Bombyx mori: one gene and its partner. The protein of the gene in region 2 binds, or shares a complex with, the protein of the main gene of each other region. Links are inferred from orthologs where the notes say so. Each region holds a gene or a part of one and is shown on either strand. Other genes may lie near its edges.

Region 1 (4,424 bases), on a different chromosome or scaffold from region 2:
TGTGACGTCACTATCCCGAAAATCACGAAACAGCAGAGTTACGTATACATGCTCCTGCTTTTGAACGTATTAACACAAACACCCCTTTAATACTCACGATACACAGGCCATGAAAAAGAACGCATATTGAGGCGAAAGAGATTTTTTATTCTTTTGTTATCATACCAAACTTGTAATTCAAGATATTGCAACATTCAATTGTGATGTTATTTAACACTTTATTGCTTCGCATTTATGAACACTTATTCTATTATAATTGGTTGACTATGCAAATAAATCTCTAGAAGTACAAAGGCAATAATTATTGTACCCAAAAATAAATTACGAAAATCCCACAACTTGTCAGTTCGATTCTGCCATTTTGGCAATAGACTTTAAAAATAATTTTTAATCTGTGTTCATTTACATTTGAATTTTTCGCTGTTTCCAAGTCAGTAATATTTATTAAAAAAAAAAAAGAATTGCTCGCTACTGACATTCTCATCTCATTTATTTTTTTGGGGATCCTCACGGATCACTTATCGGCATTTGTTTAATAAAATAAATAGTAAACATTAATAGACTTATGTGGGATTAGTATTCTATATAGATCCATATTCGTTGTATAATGAGCTAATTTTGAATTAAGCAACAGGCACAAATAGATTTTGTAACAGAATAATCATAGAATATAGGTAATCTGTGAACTTTCATGAAATTTCTGAAATTGGCCTAAAACCTTTTTTTTGGAGGGAACGCGAGGAGTGACGTTGTGTGAGTTGTTTTATTTTGTCAATTTAGTGTTTCTTCAGGTTTAAATGTGTAATAACCGTGGTTTATAAACTGTTTAGTATAACTGTGAAAGTGCACAAATGTGGGAAAATGAAACTAAGCCACTGAACGTAACTTCTCGGGATCCTCCAAAAAGTCCACTCAAAAATCTTAGTAAATGGCCACCATTTTACTGAGATTGTATTTCATCCCTTATCATCCCATCTCATTTCATTTCATGTTTCATATGAATGAACTTCATTTCATTTCACTTCATATTATCATTTTTCATACATAATAAAAATATATTTAAAATATAAAAGCTTAAGGCAGCGATTCCCAAAGTGGTCTATATCGACCCCTAGGGGTTATGTTATTTTATTTATAGTTTATTTTATGTTACGTATATTTTACATAACAGATACAAAATTTTATTTTGAGTAGTTTTAATTTAAATTCAATTAATAAATGTATAAATTAACATGGGTTTTATTTTAAGTTTTTAACACTAAACTTTACTACAGTTAGAAATTTACAGGAAATCAATATCAGGTAAGTAGGGGGTCTACCCAACACGGAAAAACATGGCAAGGGGTCTACGACACAAAAAAGTTTGGGGAACTCTGGTTTAAGGTATATACTAAGGTACCTTTGCCTGTCCAGTTGGAAAAACAAAATTAGTATTACTACTGGCGTAAAACCAATTTGTCAACTGTCAACATTAAAAAAATATAAACAAACCTTATTTTTTTCACAATTTAGTATTTGCTAGCTTTCCATATTTCTAAAACCAAAAAAGATTTTTCACTGTAAAAAATATGGTTGACGATCTTAGAAAATACTTGAATCATTTACTGGAAAAGTAAGAAAACTTTATAATTTACGTTTTTACTCTTTGGTTTTTCGTTTTATTATCTTACTTGCGACCCGCCCTAGCTTCGCTTCGGAAATTGTTATTTATTATTGATTTCTCCACTATTTAATGGATGTTATTATACACATAAACCTTCCTCTTCAATCACTCTATCTATTAAAAAAAACCGCATCAAAATCCGTTGCGTAGTTTTAAAGATTTAAGCATACATAGGGATATAGGGACAGAGAAAGTGACTTTGGAAAGTACGTACGGATGGATAAAAAAGAAAAACTATTGATGGCCTTAACTTTATTCTTTTTCAGAGTAAATGGCCTACATTGTATTTTGATTACCGATAGAGACGGTGTACCCCTTGTGAGGGCGGTAACTGAAAGAGCGCCTCCACTAGCTCTGCGTCCTAACTTCATATCCACGTTTGGAATGGCCACAGATCAGGCTAGCAAACTTGGGTTGGGTAGAAATAAAACCATTATATCAATGTATTCTAGTTATCAGGTTAGTTTTGAAAAAAATATACATTATTATTTTTAGTAAGTGATAAATATATAGTTATTGCGTGCTACCGAGTGCTACCAGGCAACCTCCGACGGAGAGCCAGCGCCAAACTATAAAAAAGATCCCTCGCTGCGCATTTGCCCTCTTTTTTGTGTGTAGCGTTCATGTACGTTTCTTGTTGAAACATGTTTTGGACTTGTGTAGTTTTTACAGTTTTCGTTAATGGTAGATTGAAATCATTTTGTTAGAAATTTTGTTTAATTCAGTGAAATATAATTAGACCAGTTCTGTGTAATTTATTTCTATTATATAAGAGGTTTAACTACCTCACTTCTGGTCAATTATAGAATTGTAGGGCTATAAAGCCTCCCTCATACATGGAGCTATTGTCGCTTATTGAGTGCTAGTTATTAGTAAATACATGATGTTGAAGAATGAGACTGCCCTGTTTGCCTGGAATGAGTATAATAAGTTAGTTAAATTTCTTTAGGTGGAATCATTGCTAACACAAGCTGTATAATAGCAAAGGAAGTCAAATCTGGGCACAATTTTGGGCTTCAGTCAATCAGTTATTATAAAAAATATCTAAATTTAAAATACATATTTAGAACCCTAAAATTATTGATAAATTATTTTAAATCGAAATATTGCAATCTTGAGCCATTCACAGTATAATAGTATTTCTAATATTTCTGTAATGTTCATGTTTAATAAAAATAATCATAATTTACAGGTGGTACAAATGAGCAAACTACCCCTAGTTATCACATTTATTGGAAGCGACAACTGCAACACTGGTCACATCTTATCATTAGAGAGTCAGATTGAACCGTTCTTGAAGGACTTGGAGGTGGTAGTTGCAGATGCACCTTGAATCAAACAAGCGAAACCAAAATATTTCTCATAAATTACTCATATAAACATGTTTTTAAAATATATCAAGGCTATTTGGTTTAAGCGACATTCATCTTTGTAATTAAAGGTACCTTTTAATTGGTATTAGCATCAAGACTTTGTTGAACTTTAATTAAATTTACTCCATTCTAATAGCAGAAGAAGTGTTTTTGTCTGATATATTTTTCCAAATTTTAAACATTTTGGCTCACCTGTAAAGTTTCAAAAATGTTGCTTAAACCAAATAGCCTTTTACAACTCTCTAAAATAGGTTTATTAAGGCTAATGTGGGATCGAAGTTACATATTTATTTTTCGGTGCTTTTATGAACTGTATATAGTAATATGAACATTGGCAATGCCTTGCGTTTTTTTACAATAATCTGTTTAGCTAAAGTATATTGATGTAAAATAAGTTATGTGGAACCCATCATAAAGTAATGCAAATCTGCAATTACATAGATTAAATGCAATATAAAAGTTTATCCAAAAACATTACATAATTGCATATATGAATATTATTCGAATGCTTTGAGTGCAAATACCTATAAAATTTGGTGTTGCCAGTGTCAGTTTTGAACTATAACATCTTCTTTTTTTAACTACCTACATTACTAACAATGATAGAAAAGTTTAAAAACTGAAATAATTTATATTAATAAGATGTATATAGAAGCAGGGTTGACTGCATATAGTTAGTAATGTGTACATATAAGGCAGATGACGTATTGGAATATGCAATGCAGCTTGATGCAGAGATGCAGTCCAATATTCCAGGTATTTGTTTAAAAAGTGCATTATATGATTCATTGATTTATGTATGGACATGTAGTGAATACGTCTGGTATGATATTTGCCTAAAATATATTTTTTCTCTAAAAATGTCAGTAGCTACTTTGATATATTACAACTAGTTTATGTGTATTATCTATTATCTATGGTTACAGTATCCCTAAATGTTTATTGGTGTTTAATGTATGTATATATAATTGAATTTTGGAATTGAAATTCTAAAATGCTATTTAAAGTGTCAAAACATATAAAGTTATAAAAAGGAAACTATTTACGTACCATTAAAAGTTAACTGTTTTAGTTCTTGTTTTCTTAATTTTGGGAATTACCTACTTGTATAGTTTTCTGAACGAATTTATCATTGAATTATTAAGTTATAAGAAGCAAACCTTTTAGCCAGATCAGAACTACTATCGTTCGGAAATTAAGGTTGGGGCAGCAACTTTAGGTATGATGGGATTCATTTATTTTCGTATCAGGAATCACCAGCAGTGCCACCTTCTCAATGACAAGTGTTCATTCTTGATAGTGATAAACTTATTACATTTAATAGTTACAATCTAGGATTTTCTCTTGTGCTGTGTGTGTGTGGACAAACAAGACAAGCTAAAAATGGG
Region 2 (4,569 bases):
TTATTTGAAACGCAAATTATTCCAGTAAATATTTTATAATAACTATACATAGTTGTAAGCGGTTGTTCTCGTCAAGTTAATGTTACTGTTAGTATTGCATATCTGTAATAAATGTGTGTATATTGATGTTCTTGTTTTCTTGCCTCGTACTAGGAAAATAATAATCATTTCACATAAACCATATATTATAATATTTGTAAACCTCATATATAAAATAACAAGAGATACTTAACATTAAAATAATTGTTTCGTTTCTATAGTCTTTTAAAAGGCTATCCACAGTCTAAGTAACTGTTTGTCCTGTGGAACATTTAAGTTAATAAAGTGTAGGGTGCCTAACATCAAATCTTACAATAAATAGTCCATAACTAAATGATAAGTGTTATAGGTAGTTTTCCAATTACAGAGCATAATGCGACTCAGTGAAGCACAATGCCAAATTATGCTGAAGATTAATTGGAAAGTCAATTAGTTTTCAAATGCATCAGCAGAGTGCGCTAAGTTAGCACAGTTTTATTTAATATTGATTATTTCTAAGAAACTACGACGAAACGAAAGCCTTACATTTTTTTTCAACATTAAATAATATTACTAACGATAATATAAACAAAATTTCGATCAATGCCAACTTAAAGAAAAAACACTTGTCAATTTATTCTGTCACTGAGTTGGTACCGATTGCGAGTATCAGCAGTACTTTTGAGAGTGCTCGATTGTGCGAAGCGTTGCTGTAGTTGGAACATTCAACGTTGAGCATTATGCTGCATAATGCGCTCTTGTGCTGTAATTGAAAAACTACCAAAATGATCATTAATAATATTTTCTTACAGTAGAACCACTCCCCATACTTTTCCTTACTTAAACTTAATTTTTATATTAAAACTTTTAAAATAAGAACGAAATTATGATCCTATAAGAACAAACTTTCCACATCTAACAAATATTTTTTACTTTTTAGTATTTTTTAGCGAGCTGAAAAAGAAAGTTTTTAATTTAAACAATCATTTAGTTAACTAAAGCAACTTAACTTATAACAAAAAATAATTAATGCAAGATTAAACAGTAAAAGTACTTAAATTATGTTTACAACTCAAAAACCAAAGAAAAACATACTATGTTATATATTATTTGAGAATAATCCTGAAGATCCTGGTCAGTCCAATGGGATACTCTTATTATATTATTCTATTATTCTGGGCGGTCCTTTATAAGTGTGCTAAATTTCAATTATATAATGTTTCGAGGTGGGTTGAAATAATGTTCAAAGATTCCAATGCATACAGGCAAAGCTAATAAACAAGCAAATTAAAAAACCAGTCATTATTATTATTACATGAAGAAACTAGAGAATTTATGTGGTTACGAAAAACTTATACTTGGAATACAATATTATGTTAATCATAATTGTTAAACTTTTACTTAGTATGGTGGTAAGCCATTACAATAATTTAGCTGTTAATATTTATTCTCTTTAAAATAACATTATACAATGTTTATGTGGTTTTACATTTTATGATTGGTAGGTAATACTTTAGATAAATTTTGAAATTAAAATCTAGATAAAGAAGTATTCAAATTTATGTTATTTTGGGGGTCAGTTAAAAGTAAATAATAATTTTAATTTATTTCCTATCACTAGACATAACCTCCTGAGAGATGTTAAGTTAACATACTTTTGGCTGAATAATACACGATCTTCTGGATAGCTTGCTTACCAGAATAGTTCAATGTTGTTTTAAATTTTATTTTACTGAAAAACAAATAATAAACTTTATTTAACTGTAAATGAAACTTAAATAATTACTAATAATGTATGTGTGAATAATGTATGTGAGTATGTGAATGCTATCACCCACCATCTTGAGACTTCATCCTTATTATTCTTTTCATGAATGGATTTATTTTCAAGAACTTGCATTATAATCATTACTAGCGACCCGCCCTCGCTTCGCTTCGGAAACATTAAAACACACAGAAACCAAAAAAAAAAATAAAAAAAAATAAAAAAAAGTAGCCTATGTTCATCAGGGACAATGTCGGCTTCTAATGGAAAAAGAATTTTTCAAATCGGTCCAGTAGTTTCGGAGCCTATTCGAAACAAACAAACAAACAAATCTTTCCTCTTTATAATATTAGTATAGATTAATAATAATAGAAAAAATAATAGAATAATAATAGAAGTTTTTATATAATATATGATATTATATAAAAATAAAAAATACCCTCGGTGTGGATTGGGAGAGGCCTATGTCCAGCAGTGGACTGATGATGGGCTGATGATGATGATGATGATGAAGCAGTAAAGTTTCAGTTACTCCCATAACTTGTGTGTTCATAGTGCGTAATGTAATTTTCTATATAACAAAAATCTCATTATAAGGTTTTGGGGAATTTATCTTTTCGTGTTAGTGTGGAATCGTGTTGTAAAATACCGTGTTATAGTAGGGCTAGCTACCTGTACATTAAAATATTGTTATTACATTTCACTTATGTCATAACTTACAAGTAATTTCATGTTCCATAGAAAACTATGTTGTGAAGTAACAGCAAAGAGTTCATTTAAGTTCAAGGCCGTTCATACATATCATGATAAACAATTATTACATTTTCAATAAATAAATAAAATATACAAGTACCTTCTATGTTTTCAATTTAAAAATCGCTCCGGTGATCGTGCCATGTCGTTGTATGAGGCACTGTTTTTTATCAGTTTCAAGGCAAACTGTGGGCGGTTTCATGTTCGGTTGTATTTTACAGGCCTGTTCTGATATGGCAACGATTATCCCTGCAGAGTCTACGTGCGCGGCGCCTTTTGATGCCAAGCATAGTCCTTGTGGGTCCGCGATAAGACAGCCATTGACATTAGGCATAGACATGATTTCTTCTACGACTTTGTCTAGATCGTTTTCCATTTTTATTAAACAAATTTATATTAATTTATAAAAAACACGGTCAAAGTCGACTGTCGACTGTCTTTTGGAAACAAAACAAAAGATTCTTTGTTGACTTTTGACATAGCATCAGCACTGACAGATGTATTTTTTTAAAGTCTAGTTGGACAAGCAAATAAAGCCGTGTATAGAACTAAGTTTTTTGTTAGACTGAGCCGTGTTTGTGTTACGATAGCGAAATGGTACAAATAATTGAAAATAAATTTTTTCTCCTACCGACGCCGAAAGTTCGGTTTTCGTCCCGCTATACAGGGAAGAAAGTGTAACTTTTCCTCCTGCTGTACAGGAAAGAAAGTGTAACTTTTTCTCCCTGGGTTAAGTGTGCATGCGTCTACGTCTGTCTACGTCTGCTCTCACGCATCTAAAATTCTCCGCCATTGTTGTGCTCGGGTAATTTGCAATATTTAGTGTTTAGTGTAAAAGTAAAATAAACAAAAGTCAATAAAATTTAATAGTGAAGTATTAAACAAAGATGAATTCATCAGACAGTTCTTATTCAATTGGTAGTAGTTTTTTTAAAAATTGACCATAAAGATTTACATTACGACACAAAACTGCCAGCAGTAGAACCATCAGAGGACCACGTGCACTGGAACCGGAAGAAAGGACATACTTATGCGATGCCGTGGAGAAAAAACTAGCCCTAGAACCTCCTACAGGCGATGCTAACACTCAATGGGATACCGTAAAATCTCATCTCTGCGAATCCCTTGAAGAAATCAAGGCTTCCCGCAGAGAGGGAAATGCAAATCGGAAAAAAAACCAAAGTATGGATTTCGGAGCAAACAAGAGAAGCTTATAAGCAAGAGGAAAGACATCAAAGTGAAGGGATTACAGAATGATGACGTCAGGAAGACTTATTCTGACCTTTGCAAGGAAATTAAAAAAGCGTGCCGCCGAGATAAAAGCTGTTTCATTGGAGACATTTACACTGATATCGAAAAACATTCACAAAAATACCAACCGTCTTATTTGTTCAAGAAAGTTCGCCTTTTGTCTCGGAAATTTAAACCAAGATCCTGGATAATTGAAGATCCCAATGGCAAGCCTATCACTGATTTAAATGCCGTTGTCGAAATGTGGCGTAAATACTGTGAAGGATTATATGATCAGCCTCAGTCAATGAGTACACAACTCCCAGTCTGGGACGACATAACCTTAGAACCTTCAATAATACGATCAGAAGTAACAGAAGCCATCTCTCGACTAAAGAGCAATAAAGCTCCAGGACCGGATCACATCACGGCAGAAATAATTAAATCGCTGGGAGATAGGGGTGTGAATGCAGTGCATAGCATCTGCAATTACGTATGGCAACATGGCGAGTGGCCCAATAACTGGACTGAGTTGATCATTTTGCCGCTTCATAAAAAAGGGTCAACTAGGAAGTGCGACAATAACCGCACGCTAGCCCTTGTCTCACATTGCAGCAAAGTTCTACTGTACATTCTCAACACCCGCTTGCGCCACTTCCTAGATTGGCAAATCCCCAAGAGCAAGCCGGTTTCGTTAAAGGGAAGGGAACACGTGAACAAATCCTCAATATCAGGCAGCTTATCGAGAGGTCGTATGAGTTCGGCACCCCGATGGTCATGTGTTTTATTGACTACAGTAAAGC

What was found.
Region 1: ragulator complex protein LAMTOR5 (region 2) and ragulator complex protein LAMTOR3 homolog share a complex: the UniProt entries of both Homo sapiens proteins name them as parts of the ragulator complex. The link is inferred for Bombyx mori from reciprocal best matches to the Homo sapiens genes LAMTOR5 and LAMTOR3.

Annotation. Positions count from the first base shown.
Region 1 is NC_085109.1:12,157,771-12,162,194, reverse strand, and holds ragulator complex protein LAMTOR3 homolog, read left to right. Parts: upstream 1-1,416; 5' UTR 1,417-1,568; coding exon 1,569-1,612; intron 1,613-1,929; coding exon 1,930-2,122; intron 2,123-2,855; coding exon 2,856-2,996; 3' UTR 2,997-4,107; downstream 4,108-4,424. UniProt on the Homo sapiens protein: As part of the Ragulator complex it is involved in amino acid sensing and activation of mTORC1, a signaling complex promoting cell growth in response to growth factors, energy levels, and amino acids.
Region 2 is NC_085110.1:1,232,887-1,237,455, reverse strand, and holds ragulator complex protein LAMTOR5, read right to left. Parts: upstream 3,018-4,569; 5' UTR 2,913-3,017; coding exon 2,640-2,912; 3' UTR 2,637-2,639; intron 1,751-2,636; exon of another isoform or gene 1,290-1,750; 3' UTR 168-1,289; downstream 1-167. UniProt on the Homo sapiens protein: As part of the Ragulator complex it is involved in amino acid sensing and activation of mTORC1, a signaling complex promoting cell growth in response to growth factors, energy levels, and amino acids.